4 linked regions of the Pelodiscus sinensis genome follow. The protein of the gene in region 1 purifies or fractionates together with the protein of each later gene. This does not show direct contact. Links are inferred from orthologs where the notes say so. Each region holds a gene or a part of one and is shown in the gene's direction. Other genes may lie near its edges. The genes, in order: CCNA2, PKMYT1, ANAPC4 and CKS2.

Region 1 (6,931 bases):
AGTTTGTATTAATTTCTCATCTTCAAGTAACTAAAACTTGCTCGCAATGTAAAATGAGTGTGTTTTGATTCCATGCCTTTTATTTATCTTTTACAGCTATTTTCTTCTATTGTTTACCAAAATAACAGCAATAATATCATTTTATAACATTTTTACAGTTTCAATATCAAAATTACAATGAAAATGGAATATTCACATAAAATATATTACCACAGAAAAAATTAGTGTAAAATCATCCAAAAGCTCCTTGGGAGGAAAGAAAGCAAAATGATATGTATGAATATCCTGAACATCTAATTAATAAATGTTACTTTAAATGTCGTATGGGATCATGGTTAAATACTCAAAGGCATAAGCACATTTAATTATTAAGTGAAACAGATAAACCTCAAAAGTCTTATTTTTTTACTTCCATAGCTAGAAATTTTTTCACCATCTTAGTCATAGAAACTGCCCCCCATTTTCAATGTTATATAAGCAGTATTTTCCTTGGACAAAAAAACCAAGAGCAGTTAATTTAAATCTTAACAGTATTTTTGTCTGTTTAGATCAATTGGCTTTTGATCTACCAGGCAATAGAAAATCATTTTTTATTAAATACAAATAAAAATGAGTTAACTCAAAGTAACTATTTCCTGCTTTCCCTCCTCAAAATACAAAAACCAACTAGTAAGTGGGAATGGGGACAGTGATTCCATGTTCCCTATAAAGGTGTGATCCTGAAGTCTCTTAAGTTGGTGAAATGAGTTGCGATGGTTTGTGTTCAATGTTTAGTTGATAGCTGTTGTCAGAGAATATTATCACAATTGGTATCTATGTCAGTGTCAGTAGCGTAGAGGGATGGGACATACCTAATTATTTTTTGACACCCACGAGTGATATCTCCAGAAATGGATGGTTACATTAATGTGATAGAATAGGGAAACTTACACTTCTAGTGCCATTGCTGTGCTAGCGTTGAAGAAAAAACAGATTTCAGTCTTGTGTACTATAAGTCCAGTATTTTTAACACAAGCACTACATTAACTGTAGTAATAGGCCAATCTTTTAATTAGTTTATTTATATCATCTGTGTTTTAAAATATTACAGCCCAGAAAATGTCTCAAGCCATAAAAATGAAATCTGTGATTTTAAATTCCACTACAAATCTCCTAGCATTTACCACACACTTCAAAATTCACTCTATAAGTAAAGGTCTGTATATGTAGGTGGTTTTGTAATACTAAGAACTTTTACAAGAATCACTTCTAATTTATGTTGTTAGAGCAAAGTAAATGATTATTGAGAAATAAGCACTATAAATGGTGCCCTTATAATAAGAAAGATTTCACATACAGCATCATCAACCATTTTGTGCCATTTAATAGCATGAAAACTGTCTATAAAGATGATAAAATATGAGTAGTAATAATAACATTAAATGAATCAGTACAGGCAGTCCCCAACTTACGCGGATCCGACTTATGTCGGATCCGCACTTACGAACGGGGCTTTTCTCGCCCCGGAGCTCACGGGCGGCAGGTCGCCACCCGTGTCCTCCGGGGCGAGAAAAGCTTCTCCCGGTCTCCCTGGTCTGCTGGGAGGGTCCAGCAGCTTTGCTGGACCCCCCCAGCAGACCAGGGGTACAGGAGCAAAGCCGCGGAGCACGCCCGGGCGCGCTTGGGCTGTCCCACTGCGGGCGTGCTCCGTGGCTTTGCTCCCCGTCTCCCTGGTCTGACCAGCAGACCAGGGAGAAGGGGAGCAAACCTGCGGAGCACGCCCGCAGTGGGACAGCCCGGGCACGCCTGGACTGTCCCGCTGCCCGCGTGCTCTGCGGCTTTGCTCCGCGTCTCCCAGGTCAGCAGACCAGGGAGACGGAGCAAAGCCGTGGAGGACTTGGGCGGTCCCGCCACCCCCGTCTCCCTGGTCTGCTGGGGTGGGGTGCAGCTAGTGCCCCCCCCCCAGCAGACCAGGCTTTTCTTGCCTACCCCTGGGGTTGAGCAGCTGGGGGCTGCCGGTTTGGTCAGTTTCAGCAGCGGCTGAATCAGGACGCCTCGGGCAGAGCAGCTGGGGTGCTGCTGGGTTGCTCCAGTAATGCCGAGGAGCCGCGCTACTGGAGCAACCCAGCAGCACCCCAGCTGCTCTGCCCCAGGCGTCCCCAAGTCAGCCGCTGCTGAAACTGACCAGCGGCTGACTACAGGAAGCCCCAGGCAGAGTTGCTCTGCCCCAGGCTTCCTGGAATCAGCCGCTGATCAGTTTCAGCAGCAGCTGACTTGGGGACGCCTGGGATTCTTAAGTTGAATCTGTATGTAAGTCAGAACTGGCGTCCAGATTCAGCTGCGGTTGAAACTGATCAGTTTCAGCAGGCGGACGCCAGTTCCGACTTACATACAGATTCAACTTAAGAACAAACCTACAGTCCCTATCTTGTAGTAACCCGGGGACTGCCTGTAACCTGAAATAAAAGCAAGGAGTAGTCCTGCGGCACCTTAGAGAGTAACAAATATTTATAGTGTCATAAGCTTTCATGGGCAAAACCTACTTCTTCAGCAAACTCATCTGAACTGGGTTTTGCCCATTAAAGTTCACGATACTATATATATTTTTGTTAGTAGTTCTGTGGCCCCTAGAGACCGGCGGTGTGTCTACATTGGTGCGATCTTGCACAAAAGCAGTCGCTTTTGCGCAAAAACTTGCTGCCTGTCTACACTGGCTGTGAGTTCTTGTGCAAGAACACTGATGTTCTAATGTATGAAATTAGTGCTTCTTGCGCAAGAACTCTGATGCTCCCGCTCAGGAATAAGCCCTCTTCCGCAACTGTTCTTGTGTAAGAGGCCAGTGTAGACAGGCAACATGAATTTCTTGCACAAGAAAGCCCTATGGTTAAAATGGCCATCAGCGCTTTCTTGCTGCAAGAGAGCATCTACGTTGGCATGGATGCTCTTGCACAAAAGCACATGGCAATGTAGCCGCTCTAGCTCTGGAAGTAGGAAGAAGAGATCCTCCGGAAAAGGGCTTTATTCCGGAGGATTGCGCCAGTCTAGACTCTCTTTTCCAGCTTTTCCCCAAGCCGGGAAAAAAGCGGCAGCCATGTTTATTTAAATCCCGCGGGGGATATTTAAATCCCCTGCGGATTTCCCTATTCTGACTTGCCTGCTTTGCATGCCTCTTCCGGAGAAGGGGCCAGTCCAGACGTAGCCTAAGTGTTTTAAAAGTTACAGACTAACATAGCTACCCTTCTGAGACATTTGAAATAAAAGATCACTTACCTATACAGGGGCAAAAAGGAATTCTTTTTCTAGAAAGCCAACTCCCAACCAGCTCTTGGGTCCTTCCTTATGTAGAACTGGAATCAGGGGCATGGGAGGGGAAAGTGATTCTCAGTAGATTAGGGATTTTAAGTTAGGTTCAATGGTTCTCAGCACCCCCCCCCCCCCCATACAAATTATTCCAGCACACCTGCTAGCAAAAAGAGAGGCGGCAAACAATTCCTAGTGATAGGCAACAAACAGCGAATGGGGGGCTGGTTCACGCTGGGGCAGAGTCTAGCTCGCATGTTTTTTATATTTAAAACTACCCCTGAGTCTGGGACCCTGGAGGAGCCAAAGGCCATTGAAGTCGAGTACGAATCTTCATGGCCTCCAAACGGGGCTCGGATCAGGCCCCGCGCCGGGCAGGAGAGTTAAAAGTGTAATGCGAGCCCACGGGCGTGAATCTGCACCGAACGCCCCCAACCCTCCTTTCCCCCCCGCGACCACGTGCCGAGCGGTGCGGGATCGGGGCCGCAGCGCTCCTAGGGCAGTGACGTCACCACTCCCCCGCCCCGGGCGTTCTTTCTCTTCCCCCGCCCCGCCCCCAGCGCGGCCCGTTTGGGCCCTGCGGCGTGCCGTCGGCGGCGTGACGTGCGCGCCCTGGGCTCCCCATTGGCGGATTCAATAGTCGCGGCGGGCTACTTGAACGGTGGCAGCGGAGCGGGCTGGCGGAGCCGCCGGCAGCGCGAGTCCCCTCTGCCTCCAGGGAGCGGCCGCGGAGCCGGGTGCCCGCCGAGCCCCCCTTCGTGCACGCGGCTGCCGCGCCCCGGGGACGATGCAGACGGGCGCCGCGGAGCAGGAGAACCAGGAGAATGTGCCCCCCGGCGGCAAAGCGCGGCTGCCCGCCGCTCCCCCCGGGGGCCGCCCGGTGCTGGCGCTGCTGCGGGGCAACCAGCGCCGCCCGGCCCAGCCGCAGGCAAGGCGGGGTGGTGCCGCGGGGCGGGGCAGCTCCGGGGCTCGGCTGGCGGCCGTGCCCGCGTCTTTGGGGGGGTTTGCACCGGGGCTCTGCCCCCTGCGGGGCCGGGGCTCCTGTTTCGGGGTCCCCCCGCTGGGAACAGCAGCCTGGCGCCCGCCATCTTAGGCCCGCGCTTCCCTGCGCGGCGCCCCGCGGAGCCGCGAGCTGTCAGCAGCCGGGCGGGGGGGGGGGGGGCAGCCTAGAGAGCGATGCACCCGCGTTGCCGGGAGCTGCGCGGCCCCTGCAAGGCTACGACCCCCCCCTCCCCCCCCCCCCCGCGGAGCGCGGGCCTCCCCTCCGCGCGCGCGCTGGCGGCTCCTCGCTGGCAGGCAGGCGGCTTGCTCAGGCCCGACCTGACCGGCTCTGAGCAGCGCCGCGGGGCCTCTGTCGACAGCCCTAAATCGCGATACAAACCGCGGGGCGTTGGGCTGCGCTGGAAACCTGGCGCGATTTGTGCTGCTGTTACTTGGGGCTCCCCAGCCTTGCTGGGAGGAAGGGGAGGGCTCCCGGGAAACACTAATGGCCAACTCTTGTCCTAGACTGCTGCTGCTCAAGCACCCTGGAGTATTACTGATGAAAACTGTGGCAAGGTTCCAGCTGGGAAAGCAGGTAGCAAACAGCCTGCTTTTACCATCCATGTGGATGAGCCTGATGGAGAGCGTAAAAAGAAGCAAGCGGTTCCTAAAAAGGCAGTATCCCATGAAGAAGTCCTAGGCTTAGCTACAGCTGTAACCTCACTAGGAGACAGAAAACCCTTGGCACCCATAGAAAATCCAATGGATCTTAGTTTTGGTAAGTATTTACAGAAAATGGTGTAATAAGAGAGATTCTGTCTTCGAAATTGGCATGCTCAATTCAGTACTGGATTCTTGTGCAGTTGGGTCCTTCCTGATCCAGCACCCTAAGACCTGACTAGTCCCAAACCAAGGAATTTGCTGGACCAGAGAAGGTTCCCTGCCACAGCCCTGAGCTGCTGACTCTGCCAGCTCCGGGAAGGGCCCTTACTACCTCCAGCCTTGGCTGGACTGCCAGTTGGGTTACTGGCCCTGCTGCTGTTGCCGCCCTGGCAAGAAGACTACCTGCTGGGCCCAGGAGCCTGTACTGCTGTAGGCTTCCACAGGCTCCAGTCCCATGCTACTGTGGGCTGCTGGAGGTTGGCTCTGGCCCTGCTGAGGCTGCTAAGGGCTTGGGCTCAAGTCCCAGTTCCATGGCAACACGCAGGCTCTGGCCCCACTTCTGCAGGCTGCCCAGGGTTCCAGCCCCACTGCTGCTAGCCCTAGTCCAGTGGGCTGCTGAAGGCTTGGGCACCTGCCCCACAGCAGTCTACGGGCTCTGACATTGCTACTGCCCTGCCACAGGATGTTGCTAGCCTGGTCCTGAGCTGCTGGGGGCTGCCCTGACCTTGTCCCAGTGCTGTGGGCTGCACCCTTTGCCCCATCCAGCTGCTTCAGCCCAGCCCTTCCTAAATTGCCCTCCTGCTACTTGGATTCTCTGATCCAGGAATATACATGGTCCATTGCTGGACCAGAGAATTCCCATTTGGGGAGGTGAAGCTTGTACTGGCTTCCTCCATACAAGACTAATTTAACTGGGTACTATATAAATGTACAGAAGCTTCAGGGGGTAGCTGAGTTAGTCTATACAGGGAGGGGGGGAAACCAAGAAATAATCTGGTAGCATTTTATAGAATAACCAAACATGTAGATGTTATCGTGAGCTTTCGTGGGCACAGCCTACTTCTTCAGATGACTGGAGTTCTGTGCCCACGAAAGCTCATGATACCATCTACATGTCTGGTTAGCCTATAAAGTGCTACCAGCTCATTTCTTGAGGTTTTTATGTATATGTGTGTGTATATATATGTATATGTAGTTAGGACTGAAAGTTACAAGTCTTATCAAACACAAGAAAAACCTCAAAATCCTAACGAACTTTTCATAGACTACTGATAATAATGGTGGCTCTGGCTCAGGGAGGGGGCAATAAAACAATGGCCATTTGCCATGGTTAGCCTATGGTGGGCTGCTGCCACCATATTTACCTGCGCCTCCACAGGTACTGGCGCCTGCCGCTCTCGTTGGCTGCAGATCACTGTTCCTGGCCAATAGAGCTGTGGAGGCGCAGGTAAATGTAACAGCGAGAGTCCACCAGGGTTTGCCTTTGGGGGACTGGATCTGGCTGACAGGCTGGTATCTGCCTGCATTAGCTGTCTCCATTAGACATGGAGACAAGAACTGGGGACTGCAAAATTAATCTGAAAGTAAGGGCATCTAAATGTTTGAATTCATTGGGATGGCCCTCTACTACAAAGGGATGTGCAGGTGTGAGGGGGTTCGCGTAAAGGAAAGTACAGTTGGAACCTCTAAAATCCAGGACTCTCTGATCTGGCAGTGATGGACCATGGATTTCGTTGGATTAGAGCCCTGGCTGGCAGTGAGGAGTACATCCCCAGCAGGGCTGGCATGGTGGGAAGCACAGCCCTGGCCAGGGCTGGTGGCAAGGAGCATAACTGCACTGAGGCTGGTGATGTGGGGAATGCAGCACCACCGGGGGCTGGTGTGATGGGAAACATGGCCTTGGTTGAGGCTGGTGTGAGAGGAGTGTGTGGGGGGGGGGGTAGGTGATGCAGCCCCAGTCATGGCTGGTGGCAGGGGAGCACAGCCCCAGTCGGGGCTGGAGTCTGTG
Region 2 (7,238 bases), on another chromosome or scaffold:
CCCGCCCTGCACTACACCCCTCCCACGCACGCTGACGCCTCTGCGTTTCCTCTCCCACAGGCCTTGGGGGGTGGCAAAGGCCCCAGTGCTGGTAATACCCCGTGCAGGCCCCATCTCTGTCCTTTGCCCCAGTGTCTCCACCCTTCACGTGCCCCGCAGGCTGTCCTCTTCCCCCGCTCCCGCCAGCTGTTTCTTCTCCTTCTGTCTAGAGATCCCTACTGCTCACACCACTGGCACCCTGAGGTGAGCCCAACTGCCATGCCCCCTCCCCTCCCTGGGCAGAGAGGAGCTCACCTGCCGAGCAGCCTGAAGGGTTTGAAAGAGATTTATCTATCCTTGCCTCCAAAACCCACAGCCCCCTGCTAACCATCCCCCTCACTGCTAGCCCCCTCCCTCTCCACCCCCCGCCCCGATGCTTCCAGCCTCCAGTGCCAGAGCCCACAGTGCAGAAGCCAGATTCTTCTGTGCTCTAGGTTGGTCTCATTCTGGGATCTCCCCCCCACAGGTTATGGGGCAGGACCCAGAGTTGGCAGCTACCCCACAGCTCAACAAGGTAAGGGGCATGAGCTAAGCACAGCACCCCCTGCTGAGAGAGCCAGAGCTGGAGTAGAAGGGGCTCCCCCCCCCCGCTGCTAGCACTTTTACCCTGCTCCCCACGGCACCCCCCACAGCACCCCTTACTGGGAGAGGCCAGGGCTGGAGCAGTGCACCCCAATCTGGATTCTCTTTGCTCTGTAGGAATCGCTGGAGTAGGCGGTGGATACCTGGCCAATGGGGCACAGCCAGGATACAGGAATGGTAAGAGGACCACAAATTGTACCTCACTTCCCGCCCCCCCTCCACATCCAGGCTGAGCCTGTCTGATCTCCCATCTCTCTTCTAGGCTACGGTGCAGGAGGGAACAGTCACCCTGGGGCCGGACTCCAGTCAGGATATGGCAACGGTGTGCCCAGTGACAGAGGGAGGAGAGCGAGGGGCGGGGCAGGGCTGGGCTGGCAGGGGGCTGCAGGGCAGGAATGAGGGGTTCTGGCCGAGCTGTGGGGGGAATCCAGGGCTGTGGGTTGGAACAGAGGTGCACAAGCCAAGCTAACTGCCTTAATCTATTCCATCCCCAGGTGCCCAGGCTACCTACTTAGGGCATTTTGCCAGCCTTAGCACAGATCTCTCAGCTGCTAAATATGGTGAGTCCTTCTGACCGCAGAGCCAGGAATTGCTTAGCTCTGGGAAGTAGGAAACGGGACACAGGGCCTTGTGCTCCAATCCAAACCCAGTACGGGGGACTGGCTGGCTGAGGGAGGGGCAAAGGAGTGTGCCCCCCATCCTGACACCCTGTCCATGCTGTAGGCCTGGGCCAGCTCCCAGACCATGGGCAGTTCCAAGAGACCATGCCCATTGGTCTGGGGGGAGACTATGGTGCTGGGAAATGAGGTAGGTGTGAGTAAGGGCTCTGGGCTCCTACGGTGGGTGAACTTGTCCATAGAGTTGCTATAGAGGGAAGTGTGAAGGGCAGACACCCCCCCCCAGAAGATTTATTTCAGGTGCAGCAGCAGTGTCCCCAGTAAGCTGTGCTCTTGGGTGGCCTCCTAGAAAACATTGAAATGCTGCCCAGCTGACTGGCAGAGTGCCCACAGCCGCCTACATGTGTTTCTATTGGTAGTGCACATCCACACATGCCTCGGTGCACAGCAATCTGTGCCATGCCGCCCAGTATCTTCGTCCCACCCCCACCCTGTGCAGGGATGTGGGCGGGGGGCTGGGATGCCCCTTGCCAACCCTGCTTTGCCTAAACCAGTGGTCACCAACCAGTAGATTGGGATCTACCAGTAGATCCTGGAGCCTCCCGCAGTGACAGCTCCCTTGGTTCCCAGCATACCGTCCCGCCCTGCCCGTAGGCAGTGCAATCTCCTGTCCCTGTGCTGAGATCTCCACTCACCAACACTACCATGTTTCCTCCTCCAGGTGGTGCAGGGCAACTAATGTACAGGGCACAACAGGCTGGGCCCAGTTCCCTGGATGGTAAGAGATGGTGAGGGGCTGTCCAGTCACATGGGTCCCCCCTTGCCTCTGGACACATGTATACTCATCCCCAGGGGCTCAAAGCCCCTTCCTGTGCTAATTTCCTGCCCCCTCCCCCAGCAGGCAACGGGAATGGACTGGGACATGCAAACGGAGGGGATCTGCAGGCTAACGGACTGGCTGCTGGTAAGATCCCCACCCTGCACCATTTGCTTCTGGGACTGAGGGAGCTGGGAGCTCCCCCCACAGCCATTGCTCCTGCCCCACTCCACTCCACCCCTCCTGATAACTCTTGTCGCTGTTGCAGGGGGATACGGGCCACTCACAGCAGGGCAGGCTCCTGGAGGCTATGGACTCTCCCCAGCAGCATATGGTAGGAGTGTGTGTGGGGGGGAGTGGGGGAGAGACGCAACATTTTATCCTATTGTCTTGTGATGCAACCAAAACTGCTCTTGCATGCGTGTCCTGTGCCTTCCCCTGCTGTCCAGAGAGAGTCATTCTCCTTTGGGTAGCAGACGGGGATGGCCAGTGACCAATTCTCATCTGCTCCCACCCGCTTCTAGGAAGCAAGGAGGCCAAGTATGGGCTGAACGGCTTTCTGGGGAATGGATACAGAGGTAAGAATTGGGGAAGGCATGTGTGTTGGTGGGGGGTGAATCTTGGAAACAGGGAAGAGCTATGACTCTTGGAGGGGATTATCTTGGGGGAGGACACAAGCTAAAGGAGCCAAATCTCTGCAGTTTGGCTAAGGGCTTGACATGGGCAGTGGCTGCAAATGTCACAGCAGGGTGAACTTCAGGAAGAGTACAGTATTTGGGTAAGGAGGAACGCAGCCCAGGTAAGACGGATGATGGTATATCCCATATAGAATCAATGCCCTGTTATCTAGAGAAAGAGAAGGCAGGGGCTCTGGGAAGGAATAGCTCTCTATCCCCACATGTGTGGGTGGATGCACTAGTCTCCACTCACCCTTGAAGATGTGCTGCTCTCTTGAAGCTCTGACCTCATGCTTCTCTTTATGCCAGGTCGCTGCCCTCCCGGGAAGTGCTGAGTCCCCGACCTTCACTTGGGGAACTTCGCACCACAGGATGGCAGAAGCCTACCGCTTCTGGTGCTGAAAAAGCAAAGAATTTCTCCTGAGATAAATTATCGTCTCTTTCTCTTTATTTTTAATGGCTACAGATCTGTCTTTTTAACAGAAAAACAAACAGTGACTGGTAAATGTAATGTGTTTGGAAAGTGAGGCTGCAACCCTTCTGACCTCCCTTCCTCTTGGGCTTGGCCAGCGAGGAGAGAGGGGTTTTAAGGGTAGGCCTGTACAGGAATACCGGGAAGGTCGGAGCGGGGTGACTCGGTTGTTAACTCCCTTTTACTGGCTAGGCAGAGAATATGTGTTTGTAGCTAGAGAGTGGGATGTGGGAGCGCTTGCAATAAAGATCCCGCACAAAGCTGAAGTCTCGAGATCTCTGTACGCCTGCGCGCTGTCCCAGTTCCACTGTCGTTCACACCTCCCACGGCAATTGGCGTTTGCTCTCCGCACACTCCGGCAGAGGCTGGCTCTTCTCCAGGCACGTTGTGAAGCTTTTCTTCGCCATCATAGTGCTAGAATCGTCATTAAGAAAAAGTAAAGCTGAGTCTCTGTGGAAGGATGGGCAGGGGGCCGTCCAGGCAAGCGGGGCTAGTCCTGTTTGCCCCGGGCAAGGAGAGATGGGGGGTGATTTTCTCTGGGGGAGCTGACATAGTGGAGGGATTCCCACCCCACACCCAACCGTGATTGGTCAGCCCCTCCCCCCATGCAACCTGACGAAGCAGCTTGTCTCCTCACTCCCCCCCCCCATTGGCTTGCCGGGGGGGGGGGGGGGCCTGGACATGGGGCACCTGGGGGTCGTGCTCTGGGGAGTTCTCCCCACAGGAGTGGGGGCGAGGGTGGTGAATGTGGGTGAGGCGGGGGAAGGGAATCGCTATCCCTGGGGGGGGCTGTCCCTGAAGAGGGGGGTGGCAGTGGAGGGGGCTGCCCTGAGGGGGGGTGGGGGGCTGCTACTGCAAGGGGCTGGGTTGGGGGGAGCTTGGCCACACTTTGGTTGCCGCGGTGCATTGTGGGCGGGAACGTGTCTCGGCCGCGCTCCCCCCCCCGCCCCTCGGAGCCGGGCTGCGGTGGGCGGGGTGAACGCGCGCGGGAGGCGGGGCCACCCCGGGCCGCCGCCGCTGATTGGCTAACGTGGTGAGGCGGGGGAGGACGGTTGGCGGCTCGCGCCGCGCCGGACGGTTTTGGCGCCAAACGGAGCGGCGGTTGGGCCGGCTCGGGGCGCGCGCGGGGAGCCCGCCACATCCGGGTACTTGCGGCCAGCGAGCGCGGCGCTCCCCCCTCCCCCCGCGGGGACCGGGGAGGAGGTGAGGCCCCTTGGCCCCGCCCCCCGGGGGCTCTCTCGCGCTGGGGGGCCCACGCCGAGCGCCCCCAACTGCGTCTCTGTCAGAAACCCGCCCCCCCGTCACTGGGCCCCCCCGTCACTGGCCCCCCCGCTGTCAGAGCCCCCCCACTACTGGGCGACCCCCCCCGTCACTGACCCCCCCCGCTGTCAGAGCCCCCCCGCTACTGGGCGACCCCCCCCCGTCACTGACCCCCCCCCGCTGTCAGAGCCCCCCCGCTACTGGGCGACCCCCCCCGTCACTGACCCCCCCCGCTGTCAGAGCCCCCCCGTCACTGACCCCCCCCCGCTGTCAGAGCCCCCCCGTCACTGACCCCCCCGCTGTCAGAGCCCCCCCGTCACTGGGCTGCCCCCCCCCGTCACTTACCCCCCCCCTGCTGTCAGAGCCCCCCCGTCACTGGGCTGCCCCCCCCGTCACTTACCCCCCCCCGCTGTCAGAGCCCCCCCGTCACTGGGCTGCCCCCCCCCGTCACTTACCCCCCCCCCCCGCTGTCAGAGCCCCCCCGTCACTGGGCTGCCCCCCCCGTCACTTACCCCCCCCCCCCCGCTGGCAGAGCCCCTCCGTCACTGGGTTCCCCCCATTACTGAGTCCCCCCCACCCTGCTAGGTCCCCCCTTCACTGAGCCCCCTGCTGTGTCAGGTTGCCCCACTGGCCCCCCTGCTAGCCCCCATCACTGACCCCCCCTGTCACCAGCCCCTTTCCCCCAAGCTGGCCCCCTGTGTCTTCCTGGCTGAACCCCTCCCCGCGCTGTACCCAGCCCGCCAGGGCCCCCCACTTTGCCCAAGGCAGGGACCGTGCGGGGCGTCCCCCACCCTGTTTTTATACCAAGGGACTGGCCTGCAGAGCCTATCCTGCCCTCCCCACACCCCTCGCCCATGCCAATGGGTGCTGACCTTGAGACACAGCCACCAACCAGCCCCTGGTGCTCTCCCCAGCTGCTGTCCTCTTCTCCCTGCAGTGTCTCCCCCTGGCAGAGCCAGCCATGCCGCTGCCCCTGGACTACGCGGGCACCGAATCCCAGCTGAGCCGCACGCCCCTGCCCGTGCCCGTGCCGGCCTTCTTCCGGGAGGCCGAGCGCAGCTTTTCAGTGAAGAAGCCGGGTCGGCCACTCAGCTACACCCTCCCGCCCCGGCCACGCCACAAGGGCACTCTCACTGTCAGCCGGGTCTTTGCCAGCCGCCAACCGCAGCCCTGGAGCCAACCTCGGCCGCGCAGCGTCTCCTTTCGCAGCTCCCAGGATCGGGCGCTGGCCCCACATAGCCGCCTTTACAACCCTGCCCGCAGAGAGCCCTTCTTCAGTCAGTGCTTCCAGCTGCTGGGCCGGCTGGGGCGCGGCTCCTTTGGGGAGGTGTATAAGGTAAGAGGGCTAAGGTGGCAGATCCCAGCAGGGGACGGGATGTGGGAATTGGGGGCATCTGGGATGAGGAATTCTAGCTAAGAGATGCAGAAATTAAGGGGATCCCATCTAGGGACATAAGCGACTAGCCGAGTTGTCCACTGGTTGCTTCCCCTCCCGCCGGCTGCCTTTATCCTAGGCAGCAAGGGCTGGGGGAGAAGGAACCAGTGGAGGGAAGAGCCCCCTTGAAAGCTGAGGCAGAGCGCAGGGAAAGGAGAGGCACCACAGGGGACCAGACTCGAGCCAGGCATCACCTGTCCCGGCTTGCACCTGGTCCCAGACGCTACGCCTCTGCTTTTTAAATGTAGTAAGGGCCTGGCAGCTCTTACGACATTTAAAAGGTAGAGCCACAGCAGGTTTAGCTCCCGGGATTGCACAAGCAAGGACTACTTACTCCTGGCTCATGCCGCCCCAGGGAGCTAACCCTGCTGCAGAGCTACAGTGGGGGCAGCGTTCCCCCCCCCCCGTCCCCCCTCCAATTGACTAATCAAGTAGTCAATGGAAATTCCATCCACTACCTGTTAGCTGATTTTCCACATTTTAACATCCTTAATCCCAGCTGGGGGGTGAGCATGACTCATCCTGAGCCTGTTCCCCTGGTGGCTGATTCAGACTCCCCCAGGTTTGCAGCATGGAGGGTGAGCATGGAGTTATTTTGTGGGGAAAGGAAGTAATCTGTTGGGGGGAATCTGTGTCCCCCATGGCTGACCTTCCCTCACAGGTGCGCAGCAAGGAAGATGGGCGACTGTACGCAGTGAAGCGCTCAGTGGAGCCATTCCGGGGAGCCGGCGACCGACAGCGCAAGCTGGCCGAGGTGCGGAAGCATGAACAAGTGGGGCGCCATCCCAACTGCGTGAGCTTTGTGCGGGCCTGGGAGGAGCGGGGCCAACTGTACATCCAGACGGAACTATGCCCGGCCAGCCTGCTGCAGCATTGTGAGGGACATGGACCGCTGCCTGAGGGCCAGGTGCGGGCCTGCCTCTGGGACCTGCTGCAGGCGCTGCGCCATCTGCATGCCTGCAGGCTACTGCACATGGACATAAAGCCAGCCAATGTCTTCCTCACCGAGCGCCACGTCTGCAAACTGGGCGACTTTGGCCTGGTGCTGGAGTTGGACCGTGGAGACCTGAGTGATGCCCAGGAGGGTGACCCACGCTACATGGCACCTGAGCTGCTGCGGGGGGAGTACAGTGAGGCAGCTGATGTCTTCAGGTGGGGCCTCTAGAGTCAGGGATAGAACCCAGATGTCCTGTCTGACTCCCAGCCCAATCCTTCTGTCCACTACTAGACCCATCTTCTGGCCTCCACTCCACGCACCCCCTTCCTTGACCACTACCATCCCCTCACCCCATGTGCTCCAAGGCCAGGCACCCAGATGTGCCAGAGAGCAGAGGACCCT
Region 3 (7,564 bases), about 65 Mb from region 1:
GTCGACAGCAAGGGAGCCAGAAATGGCCTCCCCTGGTCCTGCAAAATCCTTCATCTGGGACTAGTCAGGTCCCGAGAGTGCTGGACCAAGGATGTCCAACCTGTATCGCTGCTAGGCATAGCCCACCATTTCTGTTTTCCAAAAATTTTAATTGTGGAGTAATACATAGCCAAAATGTAGAGAGAGCTTTATTCATATTTATCCCTACCATATTTCTCAAAGTAGTAAAATCTGCATGAAAATGACTGACCTTACTTTTACATGAAACTTTGTTTGCTTCCAGTTTTGGTGAGATCAAATATATATATCTTTCTGGACTATTGTAGTTCATGCAGACCGTAGTTTACTACTGTATTGTCAATATGTTTCTCCTGATATAAATTATTGGATTAACATGGGCTTAAACACCTGCAAATGTATGTTGTGGTTAGTACAAGACTCTATAGTTATTAATTGATAACCTATTACATAGATAGCATTACCATAACAGATGGAAAAAAATACTTGTTAATTATTTAGGTTTTAAATCCTGTGTTCCATACAGATTCTTATGTTTGTACAATTTCTTCAATAGTAAATTGGGCAGTGCAATTGTTGAACATGTAATGTCAACAATCACCATGTTTTATATTTGAGGTGATCAGATGTATACTTTTAAAAGTTTTAAAAGCATTTGAGTCTAAAATTACAATACTGAGTAAAGATACATCTATAGGTGTAAAATAAATTTAACCCCATGTCAATGTTGAAGTAAAAGTAGATTGTAATATCTCTGCAGAGATAATATTACAATCTTGCAAGTCGAATTTCAAAGGGTATGTCTACACTACCCTCCTAGTTCGAACTAGGAGGGTAATGTATGCATACTGCACTTGCTAATGAAGCCCGGGATTTGAATTTCCCGGGCTTCATTAGCATAAGCGGGGAGCCGCCATTTTTAAATCCCCGCTGCTTCGAACCCCGTGCAGCGCGGCTACACGGGGCTCGAACTAGGTAGTTTGGACTAGGGTGCCTATTCCGAACTACCGGTACACCTCGTTTCACGAGGAGTAACGGTAGTTCGGCATAGGACCCTAGTCCGAACTACCTAGTTCGAGCCCCGTGTAGCCGCGCTACATGGGGTTCGAAGCAGCGGGGATTTAAAAATGGCGGCTCCCCGCTTATGCTAATGAAGCCCGGGAAATTCAAATCCCAGGCTTCATTAGCAAGTGCGGTATGCCTACATTACCCCGCTAGTTCGAACTAGCGGGGTAGTGTAGACATACCCAAAGAAATTTACTTTAAGAGCTGTTGTTCTGACTATATTTGAGATTTTAGTCATAGACAAGTCCTTGTATTTGTGTTTACTACAATGTACAATTCACTATAGCTCTGATAACATGTAATATGTTTGTCTATTCCCTTGTTTTCCAGAGCTGACAGAAAGCGGAGGCTAAAGAAGAACAAGATAAAAATGGATAATGTTAAAAGACCATCTGTGAAGCATGCTACGTTCCCACGGAAAAAAATAAAGAAAAAGAAAAACACTCTTGCTTGTTAATACTCAAGTTACCTAAAACTGTGAATGATTTTACAGCCAATTTTTGCTTCCATTTGCTGTAAATGTTAATATGATATTTTAGATAAAGCCGGTTTGAATTAAAAATGTCTGCTTCTTGTAATATTACCTCAGAACTTTGGCAGTAGGAGAAAACTGCTATCCAAGCTGCTCTTTCCATTTGTGAATATGTTCAAGTGTGATATCTAAAACAGCTTATATACTAGTCTAAACCATGACTGCACTAAAAGACAAAATGGAATAATATTGTACAGGACTTGTAAATTATTGGGACAAGGTTTTTAATAGCTTTTAATTAACTTGATATTGACCTGCATTTTTCTCCTTGATATTGACCTGCATTTCCACCTGGCTCTTTTGCTTTCCAAACACCATCTACCATGCCCATGTAATGGATGGCAAGTCAGCCTTTTGTTCTTTATCTACTGGTATGTTGGTTGTTTCGTGGCAGTAATGGAAACCCGTGTATTATTTCTTCTAGATAACTAGATACATGTAGTTTTTAAACTTTTATCCACAGTTGAGACATTATACAATGCAGAGACAACAAAAATGCAGAGGCTGTTCCCCTCCAACTATCCAGTATTTTTAGCATATCAGTGGTAAACTGGACAGTTTATAGATTTAAGGTCAGAAGGGACCATTGCAATCATTTTGTTTGACCTCACTATTACTGGCCATCCAACTTCTCCAAAATAATTCCTAGACAAGTGCCCCTTGTTATGTGTCAAGTATGGGATTTTTTTAATAATTAAACTTAACTGTATAATTTCATTTACTAGTGAGGAGCAGTCTGCAGTTCAAAGAAACGCATATAAATTATTTTTGATGCTGCGGTAAACATGAATATAGAAAATTCAAAGGAAATGAGCAATGCAATGGAATTAAACTTTCTATAACTATATTGGTTCCATTCAAGTAATTGTTCTCTACCTAGTAGGGATATTAGATACACCAAATATTATCAGCTACACGGTTATTCAGTAGTCCCCGGCAGTGGCGCCAAGAGCCAGTGTGCTCCTAGACCCACTTCCGGGGAGACCCCTGTCACCCTTCAATGCTGCATCTGGTGGCAGGCAGGAGCCAGTCCACAAGGACAGCCAATTAAAAACCAGCTTCTGCTTGCCACCCTGTGCTGCTGCCTCTGATAGTGACAGCAGCAGCCCCTGTCCATGGGGGCCCCAAGTTCCCTGTGGACAGAGGCTGCGCCGGCATTCCACAGAGCAGCCTCTGTCTGCAGTGAGTTTAGGTCTGCCATGGACAGAGGCTGCTCCACAGCAGCATGCTCTGCCCACGGTGAGCCTGGGTCCACCACTCCTCTGCGCTGCTGCCTTTGGGGGCAGGTGGACCAGCTCCTCCCTGAGTGCCGCCTCCCCCCCTGCTCCCTCACAGAGGCAGGAGGAAAGGGGGACAGGCAGCACCACAGAGCTCACTTAAAAGCCAGCTTCCCATGTGCAGTGGTTCCCACCTTCTCCCCTACCCCACACACCCTATGCTGTGCCTCTCTATCAGAGGCAGCAGTGCAGGGAGGAGGCCAGCTGCTCCATGGGATCCAGTGCCCATAGGGAGATGGCTTAAAAACCAGCTCTTGTGTCCCCACACCTTTGCTGCCTCTGTCTCAGAGACAGTGGGGGGGAATGTGTGTAGTTGATAGAATTAACTGACAAACCTAGGCTTATTCGTTAATTGTGTAGACGATAGAGATGTAAGCAAGTAGTCAGCTACTCACTTTTCCCACCCCCCCGCAAGGTGGGAAAGGTTCGAGCTTTAATTCGAGCTACCTAGTCTGTGCCGCATGTACCCGTGGGCAGGTAGTTCAAACTATGGGGCATTTAAACATGGCGGCACCCAGGAATGTGCAAATGAAGCCTGGGATATTTAAATCCCGGGCTTCATTTGCAAGTTTGAATGCCTCCATTAGCCACCCTAGTTTGAACTAGGGTGGCAGTGTAGACATACCCTAAGCGAGCACCTGCGGTCACACTCTGATGCATTTGAGCAATATTTCCCAAATTCAAAAGATCTGAGGGTTGGGAAAGAATGGATCCATAGTCCATTTCTTCCTGCCAACAAGGTGTCATCCTTGCCATTGCTGCAAAAGGATCAATTAGTTGATTGAGCTGGCATGTGACAGAGGACTTAAAAGTTTAATTAATTCATCTTCATCTTCCATCCTTCTGGATTAAAACAAAGGATAAATACCCAGAACTCAGCACCCTAGCCCTCAAGGCTTTGCTGCCATTTCCATCTTCATACTTCTGTGAAACACATTTCTCTGGAATGACTGCTACCGAGACCAGACATTGGAATAGGCTTGACGTGAGAAACACACTGGCTGTGTCTAGATGGGCAAGTCTTTCTGCAAAATCATCTGCTTTTGCGGAAAAACGTGTCAGCTGTCTACACGGGCGGCTTGAATTTCCCTGTCAAGTATAAGGCCTCAATTTGGCTAGTGCTCCCAGACTCCTCACCACCCTTCCTCCCCTCCCCCACTGCTGCCCCAGGCTATTGCCTCCAGGCCCTCTACCTTCCACCTCCCTGCAGGCAGGGTAGCCTCAGTCTTCCAAGCTGGTCCGGCAACTATGCAGCTGCAGACTTTCTGGACCTGGAGCTCCAAAAGACCCATAAGCATGCATGGGCTTCACTGTCAGAGCTGACTCCCAGCTACCTTTCCCTTTCCCCCTTAAAGGTACAGAGGGATTTTCGAACAACTACCCAGGCACCTCAACTCACCCTCATTAGTAACCGCCCCTCGCCGCGCCCGGGAAGGCTGGGGCCGGTGTACCGGGACCCCGAGGGGCAGCGCTGTGGAGCTGCAGCATCTCCCTGCTGCACGCGTTGGGCCGCAGAGGGAATTCCGCGGGGCAGTCCCTTGTGTTTCCCGCCACACGTGAGCTGCGGGGCGCGGCGGCGGCGCAGTGACGAGGCGGGGGCCGCCCCGGAAGGCGGGAGAGCCGGGCGGAGCCGCTTCTCGCGGGGCTGTCGCTGTGCTGCGTGCGGCTGGACGGGCTGTGGGCTCCGGGCGCGGAGCGGGCAGCGGGATGGGGCGCGACGTGGGAAGGGCTTAAGGGGGACGGGGAGGTGAGGGAAGGAGCCCGGCCCGAGCCTGCCGGTGCAGGAGCCCCCCGCCATGCCCGCTTTCCGGCAGGTCGGGGAGAAGCAGCTTCCCCAGGAAATCATCTTCATGGCCTGGTCTCCCAAGAGGGACCTCATCGCCCTTGCCAACAAAGTGGGGGAGGTAAGACGGGGCCGGGGTAACGGGGCAGCTGCAGGGCCCGGCTCAGCGAGCTGGAAACGGCGTGTAAGAAAGGCACCTCCTCCGACAGCGCTGCTGCGCTCCGCCGCTGGGGGAGCGGGGTTCCCTGGCTGACCGCCCCTCTTCGCCCGCAGCCCTGCTGCCTGCTCCCTCCTCCAGTAGTGCCTCAGGGTTCGCCAGAGGCGGCTTCGCTCTCCCTGCCCCTGCAGCAGCGCTCTCCCTGCGGCTCCCGGGGAAAGAACTCCGGCCAGCTGGGCAGTGCTGTGGGGAGGCTAGCACTGGGGGAGGCTAGCACTGGGCTCTCTCCACCCTCCCTTGTCATTATTGACAGCCAAACGGGCCTCCTTATTCTACACGCCATCTTCAGCCACAGGAATAGTGCACCATAGCATGTGTGAGGGTTTTTTAAGCCTTCACATGAGAATGACTTAGTATCTTGGGTTTACCGTGTTGGCATTCCCAGTGCTGTACAGCTAAGTTAGCCGAGAATTCTGTTCTTTCATGCTGTCTGCATCTGTGCAGGAAAGACCTTGGTTTGTTGTAGCTGCTTAGTGTGTTGCAAAGGCAGAATTTAGTGGGATAGTGCTGTGAAGAATCTGGCACTGTGCTAGAACATGCTGTATTTTAAACAGTGAGCAGACCTGTGTCACCCTAAAGACTAGCAAATATATCATGAGCTTTTGTGGGTAGATCCCACTTCAGATGAGTTGGAGTGGAAATGACAGAATCCAGAGTATATAAACAGGAAAAGCAGTGTTAATAACGGTAATTGAGTCAGGCTGGATCTGTCCCATTCATAGTCAGTATTCTGTCTATTCCTCAAGATCCATAAATCTGGAAATCCTGGATGTTTCATCATCTCATGCAATAGCACCCTTAAACAGGATAATCTGGCTACATTGACTCTTTCCTCACGCTGCATGCTACCAGCACTCCTATCTATCTTTGAGACACCACTGACTTCCTGAAGAAACTACAGAACATCGGTAATCTTCCTGAAAACACTATCCTGGCCACTATGGGTGTAGAAACTCTTTATATTGGTATTCCATACGAGAACAGACTACAAACTGTCAGGAACACTCTGATGATGCCACAATACACCTGGTGGCTGAGCTATGTGACTTTGTCCTCACCCACAACTGTTTCTGATTTGGGAACAGTTTATACCTTCAAGTCAGTGGCACTGCTGTGGGTACTCGCATGGCCTACAATATGCCAGCATTTTCATGACTGCCTAGAACAATGTTTCCTCAGCTCCCATCCCTTGCCACCTGTCCTCTGTTTATATTACACTGATAACATTTTCATCATATGGACCTTTGGGAAGGAGACCTTTGACGAATTCCACAGGGATTTCAATAATTTCCACCCCACTATCAACTTCAGCCTGGACCAGCCTACACAAGAGATCCACTTTCTTTACACTACAATACAAATAAATGATGTTCACATAAACACCACCCTATACTGGAAACCTACTGACTGCTATTCTTACCTACATTCTTCTAGCTTCCATCCAGGACACATCACACAATCTGTTATCTGCAGCCAAGCCCTAAGGGTACATCTAGACTACATGCCTCTGGCGACAGAGGCATGTAGATTAGGGTACCGGACATAGTAAAATGAAGCGGCGATTTAAATAATCGCCGCTTCATTTTACTATGTCCGGTACCCTAATCTACATGCCTCTGTCGCCAGAGGCATGTAGTCTAGACGTACCCTTAGATACAATCAGATCTGCTCCAATCCCACAGACAAACACCTACAAGATATTTATGAAGCATTTTGAAAATTTAAATACCCACCTTGAGAAGTGAGGAAACGTTGATAGAGCCAGACTAGTACCCGGAAGCCACCTTCTTCAAGACAGGCCCAACAAAGAAAATAACACCACCACTGGACATCATCTATATCCCCTAGCTTAGCACGCCCCAGCATTTCATTGATAATCTTTAATCTGTACTGGAAAATGACCCCTCACAGATCTTGGGAGGTAGGCTGATCCTTACCTGGGGGTGATATAGGTGATAAGACAGTCCCCCTCCCAACCTTAAGTAAATACCAACCGCCATACTCCTCATCACAGATACACTCACCTAGGAACCTACACCTGCAACAAACCCCGTTGCCACCTTTGTGCACATAGGGATACAAGTGACACCATCGCAGGACCTAACCACGTAAGCCACAACATCAGGGGCTCATACAATTGCACATCGTCTAATATAATATATGACATCAAGTGCCATCAATGCCTCTTTGCCATGTATATTGGCCAAAGCAGACAGTCTCTGCCACAACAGATTAATGGACATAAATCCGGGAATGGTAGCACACATAATCCTGTAGGGGAACATATTAACCTCCCTGGACATAAAAGCTCATGATATATTGGTTAGTCTAAGGTGACACAGGACTGTTCATTGTTTTGAAAGTTACAGACTAACACAGATACTTTGCTGCTGTATCTGAGTATCGTTTTCAGTCTTTGATGACTTTGGGGAGCATCCTATTTTCCTAAAGTGCTTTAAAAATTGTTTGCTTTTAATTGTCAGTATTGATTTTCTTCCTGTGTTGTGTTCTCGCACAATTCTGATATTCTTCAGATGTGTTCTGGAAAAGGGAGATTGTTTAAATGTTTAGCCTGTCACCACAAGATTCTGTATTCATCTTGACATTTTTCATGTTCAGATCATTGGGAGGAAAGAGCAAAAAAGCAATAATTGCTGCTGGAGATGGAGTGG
Region 4 (7,910 bases), on another chromosome or scaffold:
TGTCCAACAAAAGCTAGAAAATCAGCCTTAATACAGTGTGCATTAATTAGTGTCTTAGTCATTAATTATGATACCCAGTAGCCAAGCTAACAGAAAACAAATACTGTGGTTAATTGTTGCCTGCTGGTGAAGTCAGGAGCTTTGTCTATGCTTCTAAAATTGAAGTGCAGCAACAGCAAAAATATATGGCAAAAGCTATACACAGACTAGCCTACACAAGCCAGCCTGAATCCAGCTAGCATAGGTAATACCAGGGCTTGTCTGTACTGGCAAGTTTTGTCACCAAAAAACCTTTTTTGGTGACAAAACCCGGAAAGTATTCATATTGCAACACAAGTTGCAAAAAATGGAAAATTTTGGCAACAAAAATCTTCAGTCTTTGTGACGGACTTTTCTCTCTCCCCTTTCCTTACTGTGGACAATCATGTAGCATGTACTACAGTAGGGGTTTTATTGAATTCCAGGATATACCCAGCAATGCCGAATTAGCCAGTCTGGCCAGCACTTTGAACTCCACTGCTCTACTGCCACCTAAACAGATAAACAAAAATGAGCTCCTCACACCTGCAAACTCTAGGGAACTTTAGAATCAATTTCCTGCTATCTGGCCCATTGGGTAGTGGACCTCGTGGCATTCTCTTGGGAAATGGGATGGCTATTGCTCAAGACGCTCTCTTGCTTGGAGCACCTCAGAGCTTTTTGATCTAATCAGTGTGTGGAGTAAAGAATTACAGCTGCGAGTGACCCATAGGCAGGGCCGTAACAAGGGCAGGGCAAATGGGGTGCTTGCAGCAGGCACATCATAATCAGAGGCTCAAAGATGCAAAAGTAAAAATAAGCTGCAAAAGTAAAGAGTGTGATGTCTAATAACCTAAGCAGAAGGGGCGCAGAATTAATATTTTCTCCCAGGCACAAAAATACCTAGTTATGGCACTGCCCATAGAAACTCAGATACATATGGTCACATTTTTCTCAAGCCTTGTGTGAAGGGGTATGGTCAAGAAATCCACATCGCACTTTCTAGTGCCCTTCCAAAATGTGCCACGCTAGCCCTTTCCTCATCGCATAGTAGGGATGTTAGCAAATATGTTTTTTTTGGTAAATGTGTAACTGTTGAATTTTTCACTGGTTACACTCTTACATGCAGGGAGGGGGCAGACAGCTACTAGCAGGATACAGAGGTGGGAGGCGGGGGAGAGGAGGGAGCAGACTTAAAAGACAATTCCCTGGGCGTATCAGCTCCCGCCTGCCCTCCTCCCTGCCCCTCCAAACTGTCTCAACACCCTGGTCCCGCCCCCGGGGCTTCCTGGCTCATATCCAGCAGCTGATGCTGTGGTTCTTCTGGCCAGGACTGCACTGGGTCTCTGCAGGGGTTCTCCATCTCCCCCTGGAGGAGGGAGGGAGGGCAGGGCCTGATGTGTTTGCACACGCGGGTTCATGTCCTCCGCCTCCGGGCCCTGCAGAGACTCTTATTCGATGCAGGTAGTCTGGCATGGAGCACGCTGGTGCACGCTTTCCTTCGCCGCTTCCAAGAGCTTCGATATGACCAGCAGCTCCTTTATTTGAGAGGTCTTCGCAAGACCTCTCTGTGCTATCGGCCTTCCACCAGGACTTCCTCCGGGTCTAGAAGCTGCTTGTGTTGACCAGGTCCTTGGGAGCCACCATGGGGGCAGACCTCCTTGCGGAGACTCTGCTACGCAATCCCCATCTATAGCTACGTCTACACTGGCATGATTTTCCGGAAATGCTTTTAACGGAAAAGTTTTCCGTTAAAAGCATTTTCGGAAAAGGGCGTCTAGATTGGCAGGACGCTTTTCCGGAAAAGCACTTTTTCCAGAAAAGTGTCTGTGGCCAATCTAGACGCGCTTTTCCGCAAAAAAGCCCCAATCGTCATTTTCGCAACTGGGGCTTTTTTGCGGCAAACACTACTGTGCTGTCTACACTGGCCCTTTTCTGGAACAGTTTTCCGGAAAAAGACTTTTGCCCGAATGGGAGCAGCATAGTTTTTCCAGAAAAGCACTGATGATTTTACATTAGATCGTCAGTGCTTTTCCAGAAATTCAAGCGGCCAGTGTAGACAGCTGGCAAGTTTTTCCGGAAAAGCGGCTGATTTTCCGGAATAACTTGCCAGTGTAGACACAGCCTATGTGTATAGGTGGTGGAGTACCCCTTGGTGTGCCAGAGGTTGGTTCTGGCAGAAGTTGCCAGAGTCGGAGACCTCCTAGACTATGACCAGGGAGACTGGGTGGATCCTAGGGTGCTCGCCCAGTGCATGGGGCTCTCCACCTTACATACTCCTCAGCGTGTACTTCAGGAGGTGAAGGACACTTTGCCATCCACTGCTTGGGTGTACCCAAACAGGGTCCTGCCAGAGGGTGCGCCCCACCCACCCCTTACCCCCAGCCCTCCCAATCTCTCCATTGGCTCCCAGTCCCACATATCTTCCCGACCGCCTCCCCCTCATCACCCAAACCAACTGCTCGCATTGCAGCCGGTCCCCTTCCAAACTGCGCCAGGGTCACCTGTACACGCTCGTGCTTCACACGCTCCACTTCCCCATTCTTGTGTCCCGCCCAAACACCACATGCCGGGACCTCCTACAACCAATAGAGGGTAGGGAGCCTGATGGGCTAGCCTCTATTCGATCTTGGTTCCACGGACCACTGTGTACATCAGCTGGAAAATCCTGCACAGTGCGGTGAGCACGGGCGCGTACTTGGCGCGGTTCACCCCCATCCCGGAAGCTTGCCCCTTCTGCGGCGTGAGGGAAAACCTGGCGCACGCATATCTTGAATGCGCCAGGTTGCAGCCCCTATTCCGGCTCCTCCAGAACCTCCTACTGAGGTTCTGGCTGCACTTTTCCCCTCACCTCTTCATCTATGCACACCCTATCCGTGGCCCCACAAAGTCGCGAGACCTCCTCGTCAACCTACTCCTGGCTCTAGCGAAAGCCGCTATTTACAACACCAGGAGTAGGATGTTGGACGGGGGGGTTCTCTGCGACTGTGGGGCCTATTTCCGTTCCTCCCTAGCTTCACGTATCCGGGGAGAGTTCCTCTGGGCGGCGTCCACTGGCTCCATCGACAGCTTTGAGGAGCAGTGGGCGCTGTCCGGGGTTCTCTGCTCGGTGTCCCCTTTTGGTTCCCTTATTTTAAACCTGTGACCCACACTCCTTGCCCCTTTTGTCATTATTTGTCCCCCGGAATTAGTTGAACGTGGGTCCAGCTGTCCCTCCCGAAAGGCTGGGGAGGGGCAAAGCCCGCCCACCTTCCCACAATTTCAAATAGGACAACCAATAGAGGGTAGGGAGCCTGATGGGCTAGCCTCTATTCGATCTTGGTTCCACAGACCACTGGGTACATCAGCTGGAAAATCCTGCACAGTGCGGTGAGCATGGGCGTGTACTTGGCACGGTTCACCCCCATTCCTAACACTTGCCCCTTTTGTGACGTAAGGGAGACCCTGGCACAGATCTATCTCAAGTGTACCAGGTTACAGCCCCTTTTTTGGCTTCTTGTATGTTGAGGTTCTGGCTGCACTTTCCCCCCCACCTGTTAATTTATGCACACCCCACCTGTGGCCCCACAAAGTCACAGGACCTCCTAATCAACCTTCTCCTGGCTATTGCCAAATTGGCAACCCATAAAACCAGGGAACAGAGGTTGGCTGGCTGAGGGGCCTGTGACTATGGGGCTTATTTCCATTCCAGTATCCGCTCACGTATCCAGGCAGAGTTCCAGTGGGTGGCGTCTGCTGGCTCACTAGAGACCTTCCAGGTACAAGTGGGCGCTGTCCAGGGTTCTCTGCTCAGTATCCCCATCCAGTTCCCTCGTTGTATCCCTTTGGCCCTCACACCGGTCCCTGTTTTCTCATTATTTGTCCAATGTGATCAGCTGGTTTTCTGGGCTCTGTGGACCCTCCCTGTAGGCTGGGGGGAGGTCCTTTAGAAGTGGGGGGCTAATGCCCGCCCACCTCCCAGACAACAAACAGTCTCTGCCCCTCCAATGCTGACTCTGACAGAAAGGCAGCAGCACAGGTGAAAGGGAGAGGTGGCTCTGTGGAAGCTGGCAGAGAGCCAGCTTTTAAGTGGACTCCCCCCTTAAGGACTGGCTCCTACTTGTCCCCCTAGCTACTGCCTCTGCGGGAGGCAGAGGGGTGGGAGGCGGCTCTGCAGGAAACCTGATACGCCCAGGTGTATCCGTTCATTGTGCGCACAACAACACACTCCCAACCCTATCGCATACTAGGGTGGTGAAAACCCGCCTGTCCAGTGGACAAAGCCAACCAGCCCTTGCGAGTATTCCCACGGCATAAATCCGTTGACACTAGGTCCTCAGTGCCCCCCCCCCCACCCCCCACACCAGGGTTTGACCCTTTATTCCCGGCCGGACTCAGGCTCCAACCCCGAGTCCCAGGTTCCAGCCTCGGGTCTGCGGGGCGGGATCTGCAAGGGGCGAGACGTAGAAGCGTTACGCCTGAGCCTGTCTGAACGGGACGCTGCAGTGTGCGGGTGCCATTGCAGGGGAGGGAGGGGTGCGAACGCGCATCAGCAGGACGGGCCGCTAGGCCGGGAGGGGCAGAGCTCAGCTGCACACGCAGCACAGCAAAATCTGCGAACTCGACCCATTCCCCAACCGCCGGCAACTGTAACTGTAACCGCCCACTGCAGCTCACGAGGCAAGCGCGTGTCTGGAGAGAAGCGCAGGAAGGCTGAACGCGCGCGCCCAAACCGACCCCCCCCCCCCCAACCTTTACCGGACGCGCGCGCGCAGCCACCCCGCCTTTAAACGTCCCACTCGTACCTTGGCTCCGAAAGCCTCTAATTGGTTGGTAGAGCGCGGGTGACGTAATCGTCTGACTTATGGGACAGGCGCGTTCAGTGATTGGCTGGCTCCACCCGCCAATAAACGTTGATTTGTTGGATTCAAATTGAGTGGAAAGCCGACCGGGTCGGTTATTAATCAGCGGGCGCTGCCTCAGGCTGAGGAACCGGAGCTGCGTCTTGCCGCTGTAGCTGCTGCCTTCGCCATGGCCCACAAGCAGATCTACTACTCCGACAAATACTTCGACGAGCACTACGAGTATCGGTGCGTAGGGCCGGGGCCGGTCCTCTCTGGTCCCTTCACCCCCTGTCTGTGCTTGGGGGGCCGCGCGTAGGGGTTTCGGTAAGGAAGCGCAGGGCGCGCAAATGCTTTGCCCTGCTGCTCCCTTTCTGGCTATGGGAGGGCGCGTGGGGGCTTTCAGGCTTTCTCCATCTGCCTCTGGCACAGCCGCCGTCGAGTCCGCCCTGGAAAAGGAGGGGGCGGCCGTTGCAGTGGCTCCCCGCAGGGGTCGGGGACACAGCGAGGGGAGCCTGGGGCGGTCGGGCTGGGCGGACCCTAAAAGGGCTCGCGGGCCTTGTTTGGCGCCAGTCGCGCTGTGTCTGCGGCTAAGGAGGCGCGCATCGCCAGAGCTGAGCTAGTGAGATCGCGGGAAAAGTCCTTGAAAGTCACTAGGGAACTCTTAGCAGCCGTTGCTGCGCCCTCGCAGGTCCCTCTCCTACTCGGAGCAGACATGCGTGTTGCGCCGTTGGCAGTTTCGACTGTGTTTTGCTGCTTGTAAATGATCCTAGTCTCTGGGGTGACAACAATGGCAACTCCCTGTCGGCAACGTCAGGGAGGCGCCTCTGGCTCCCTTATAACCTGATGGCTTTCACTGCTTCAGAAGCTCCGACTGTGGTAGTTGCTGCCCTAATCCCTTAACACAAGATCGTTGAGGCCACGTGGCCTGAGGTGGGCACAACCTTTTCCTGTGTAGCTGCTTTACAATGCAGGAGAGTCTTGGCAATTTAACACTGATGTGAATTAAGACCCACAACAACCTGCATCTTGGTAGTAAATATGCCATGATAGGGTAACTACTTCTGTTACATATAGGTAACCTCTATATGCCGGTTAAGAACAGAGAGCCCAAGGCCCCTTGTGTGTTTTTTTTTTTTTTTTGTTTGTTCAAGGCTGAAACAATGCTGTGAGACCAACTTGTAAATAGAGAGACAGAATGCAACTTGGACTGTGAGAGGAATATGTAAACACCGTTAAGTGCCCTATGAAATGTCCTATGTCTTAGTTTTGTGACTTTTTAAATTTTATCTCCCCAAGATAGGTTTCATTTACATGTACAAATAGATTAGTATTCAAGGGCAAAGGTCATATTCCTTTTGGTCAGCAGTTGACTTGGCAGTGATAAATCAGGAGTCATGGCTGTTTTGTGTTTCCTAAAACTACTTATCTGGTTAGGTATACAGAAGTTTCCTTTAGTTTCTTAAACAGTGTGGCAATAATTGCCAGGGGCGCAGTGCTTTAATAACTATGCACTAGACCAGTATTTCTCAACTTTTTTTTATGAAGTACCCCCTTTAAAAATTATAGGTACCCTCCAGTATCTACAGTTTTCAGACATACAAAATTTTCTACCATTGCAACACATTTGTTTAAATGGCTTAATCGTAACCGGGTGGGTGATGGAAATGTTTGGGTGTAAAAACTACAAAAATAATAAAGCGCTGTAAATCTTAACACAAATTCAGTTTTCTCCAAATTTCAATTGTGTTCTCCCCTCCCCTCCGCCTTCTCTTGAGTACCCCTGAGGGTATTTGTACCACTGGTTGAGAAACACTGTAGTAGACTAGCTCCTATTTCAGGTGAGGGTGCATGATTACATCTTCCCTTACATAGCTGAAGGTTTAACATCTACTCTACTGGTTCTTGGATTTCAAGATTTAGCACATCAAATGAATTTAGCACATCTACATGAGCTAAAACAGTTTATATGTTTTCTAGGATATAGGGATGTGAACAACTTGTTGACTATCGACAAGCTAATTGACTAGTTGCTTTCCCTACCTTGCTGCCTCTTGTCAGAAAAGCAGCAGAGGGAAGGGGTGCTTCAAGGCAGCAGTACTACCTGGGGCCAGACCCCGGATTGCTGATTTGAAATACTGCATGCAGCCCAGGGCCAACTGGGGACTCCCCATTGATCCCAGGCACCATGCTCCCTGAAGCGCTTTTGCCTTTTAAGTGTAGCAACAGCCCTGCTACACTTAAAAGGCCAAAGCATCCTTATTGACTAATCAATACAAATGGCATCGACTGTTTTATTAGCCAAATATCAAAATTTTACATCCCTATTAGGAGGGCTTGACAAACCGTGGCGAGAGCTACTTGCCAGCCCCACACCACACATGCGTATGCACAGCGCCGGTGAATGGGGCGCACGGAGCAACTGGCTGAAATCTACTTGTCACGGGTGAGTAGAATCAGCGGTTTGTCAAGCCCTTCCTATTAGGATAGTGAATAAAACTCCCAGGAAAGTTGAGAACAGGTAGACTTCCTTCCAGCAGCTGTCACAGAAATAAATTGGGAGGGGTAACAGTGTCTTGGGAAAAGTGTAATGGGCTTCCCACTGGTGGTCAGAATCATGAGTTGCCTGATCTTGTCGGGAAGTTTTTTTGGTGTCTGGCAGACTTTGAACCCTGCTCAAGACATTGCTGTAGGAAAGGCAGTAAAGGTTATGGCCTACAAATACAGGTGTTATCAAAGAAACTGTTAACATTTTTAGTAATAATGTTTTCAACAGACACGTGATGTTACCCAGAGAACTTTCAAAGCAAGTACCAAAAACTCATCTAATGTCTGAAGAGGAGTGGAGAAGACTTGGTGTCCAACAAAGTCTGGGCTGGGTCCATTACATGATCCATGAGCCAGGTAGGTAGAATGCTATCATAGCAATGAAACAGTCATTTTTAACTGACTGAACAGGTAATCCTTGGAATTAAAAGGACACCCAAAAAACTGATAACTGCCTTGTTGCAACTTTGGGGAAACTAGCAGCAGCAGCAGCAGAGAAGCATTGGAGTCATGGGCATCCCATGT

Evidence for each region.
Region 2: the proteins of CCNA2 (region 1) and PKMYT1 purify together in Homo sapiens (affinity purification with mass spectrometry; 3 studies listed by BioGRID and IntAct, counting the BioPlex papers as one, with this or other methods). This does not show direct contact. The link is inferred for Pelodiscus sinensis from reciprocal best matches to the Homo sapiens genes CCNA2 and PKMYT1.
Region 3: the proteins of CCNA2 (region 1) and ANAPC4 purify together in Homo sapiens (affinity purification with western blotting; 3 studies listed by BioGRID). This does not show direct contact. The link is inferred for Pelodiscus sinensis from reciprocal best matches to the Homo sapiens genes CCNA2 and ANAPC4.
Region 4: the proteins of CCNA2 (region 1) and CKS2 purify together in Homo sapiens (affinity purification with mass spectrometry; 3 studies listed by BioGRID and IntAct, counting the BioPlex papers as one, with this or other methods). This does not show direct contact. The link is inferred for Pelodiscus sinensis from reciprocal best matches to the Homo sapiens genes CCNA2 and CKS2.

What each region holds. Positions count from the first base shown.
Region 1 is NC_134715.1:37,072,353-37,079,283, reverse strand, and holds the start of CCNA2 (cyclin-A2), read left to right. Parts: upstream 1-3,928; 5' UTR 3,929-4,066; coding exon 4,067-4,207; intron 4,208-4,785; coding exon 4,786-5,038; intron 5,039-6,931. UniProt on the Homo sapiens protein: Cyclin which controls both the G1/S and the G2/M transition phases of the cell cycle. Functions through the formation of specific serine/threonine protein kinase holoenzyme complexes with the cyclin-dependent protein kinases CDK1 or CDK2.
Region 2 is NC_134714.1:134,508,837-134,516,074, forward strand, and holds the start of PKMYT1 (membrane-associated tyrosine- and threonine-specific cdc2-inhibitory kinase), read left to right. Parts: upstream 1-4,219; 5' UTR 4,220-4,349; exon of another isoform or gene 4,350-4,407; intron 4,408-5,401; 5' UTR 5,402-5,425; coding exon 5,426-5,800; intron 5,801-6,560; coding exon 6,561-7,051; intron 7,052-7,238. Other genes in the region: GREP1 (glycine-rich extracellular protein 1), read left to right, coding at 506-553, 739-798, 884-943, 1,116-1,181, 1,960-2,016, 2,137-2,202, 2,324-2,389, 2,580-2,633 and 1 more. UniProt on the Homo sapiens protein: Acts as a negative regulator of entry into mitosis (G2 to M transition) by phosphorylation of the CDK1 kinase specifically when CDK1 is complexed to cyclins. Mediates phosphorylation of CDK1 predominantly on 'Thr-14'. Also involved in Golgi fragmentation.
Region 3 is NC_134715.1:101,835,241-101,842,804, reverse strand, and holds the start of ANAPC4 (anaphase-promoting complex subunit 4), read left to right. Parts: upstream 1-4,545; 5' UTR 4,546-4,688; coding exon 4,689-4,796; intron 4,797-7,564. Other genes in the region: rRNA N(6)-adenosine-methyltransferase ZCCHC4, read left to right, coding at 1,414-1,540. UniProt on the Homo sapiens protein: Component of the anaphase promoting complex/cyclosome (APC/C), a cell cycle-regulated E3 ubiquitin ligase that controls progression through mitosis and the G1 phase of the cell cycle.
Region 4 is NC_134716.1:47,243,337-47,251,246, forward strand, and holds the start of CKS2 (cyclin-dependent kinases regulatory subunit 2), read left to right. Parts: upstream 1-4,903; 5' UTR 4,904-5,028; coding exon 5,029-5,087; intron 5,088-7,614; coding exon 7,615-7,742; intron 7,743-7,910. UniProt on the Homo sapiens protein: Binds to the catalytic subunit of the cyclin dependent kinases and is essential for their biological function.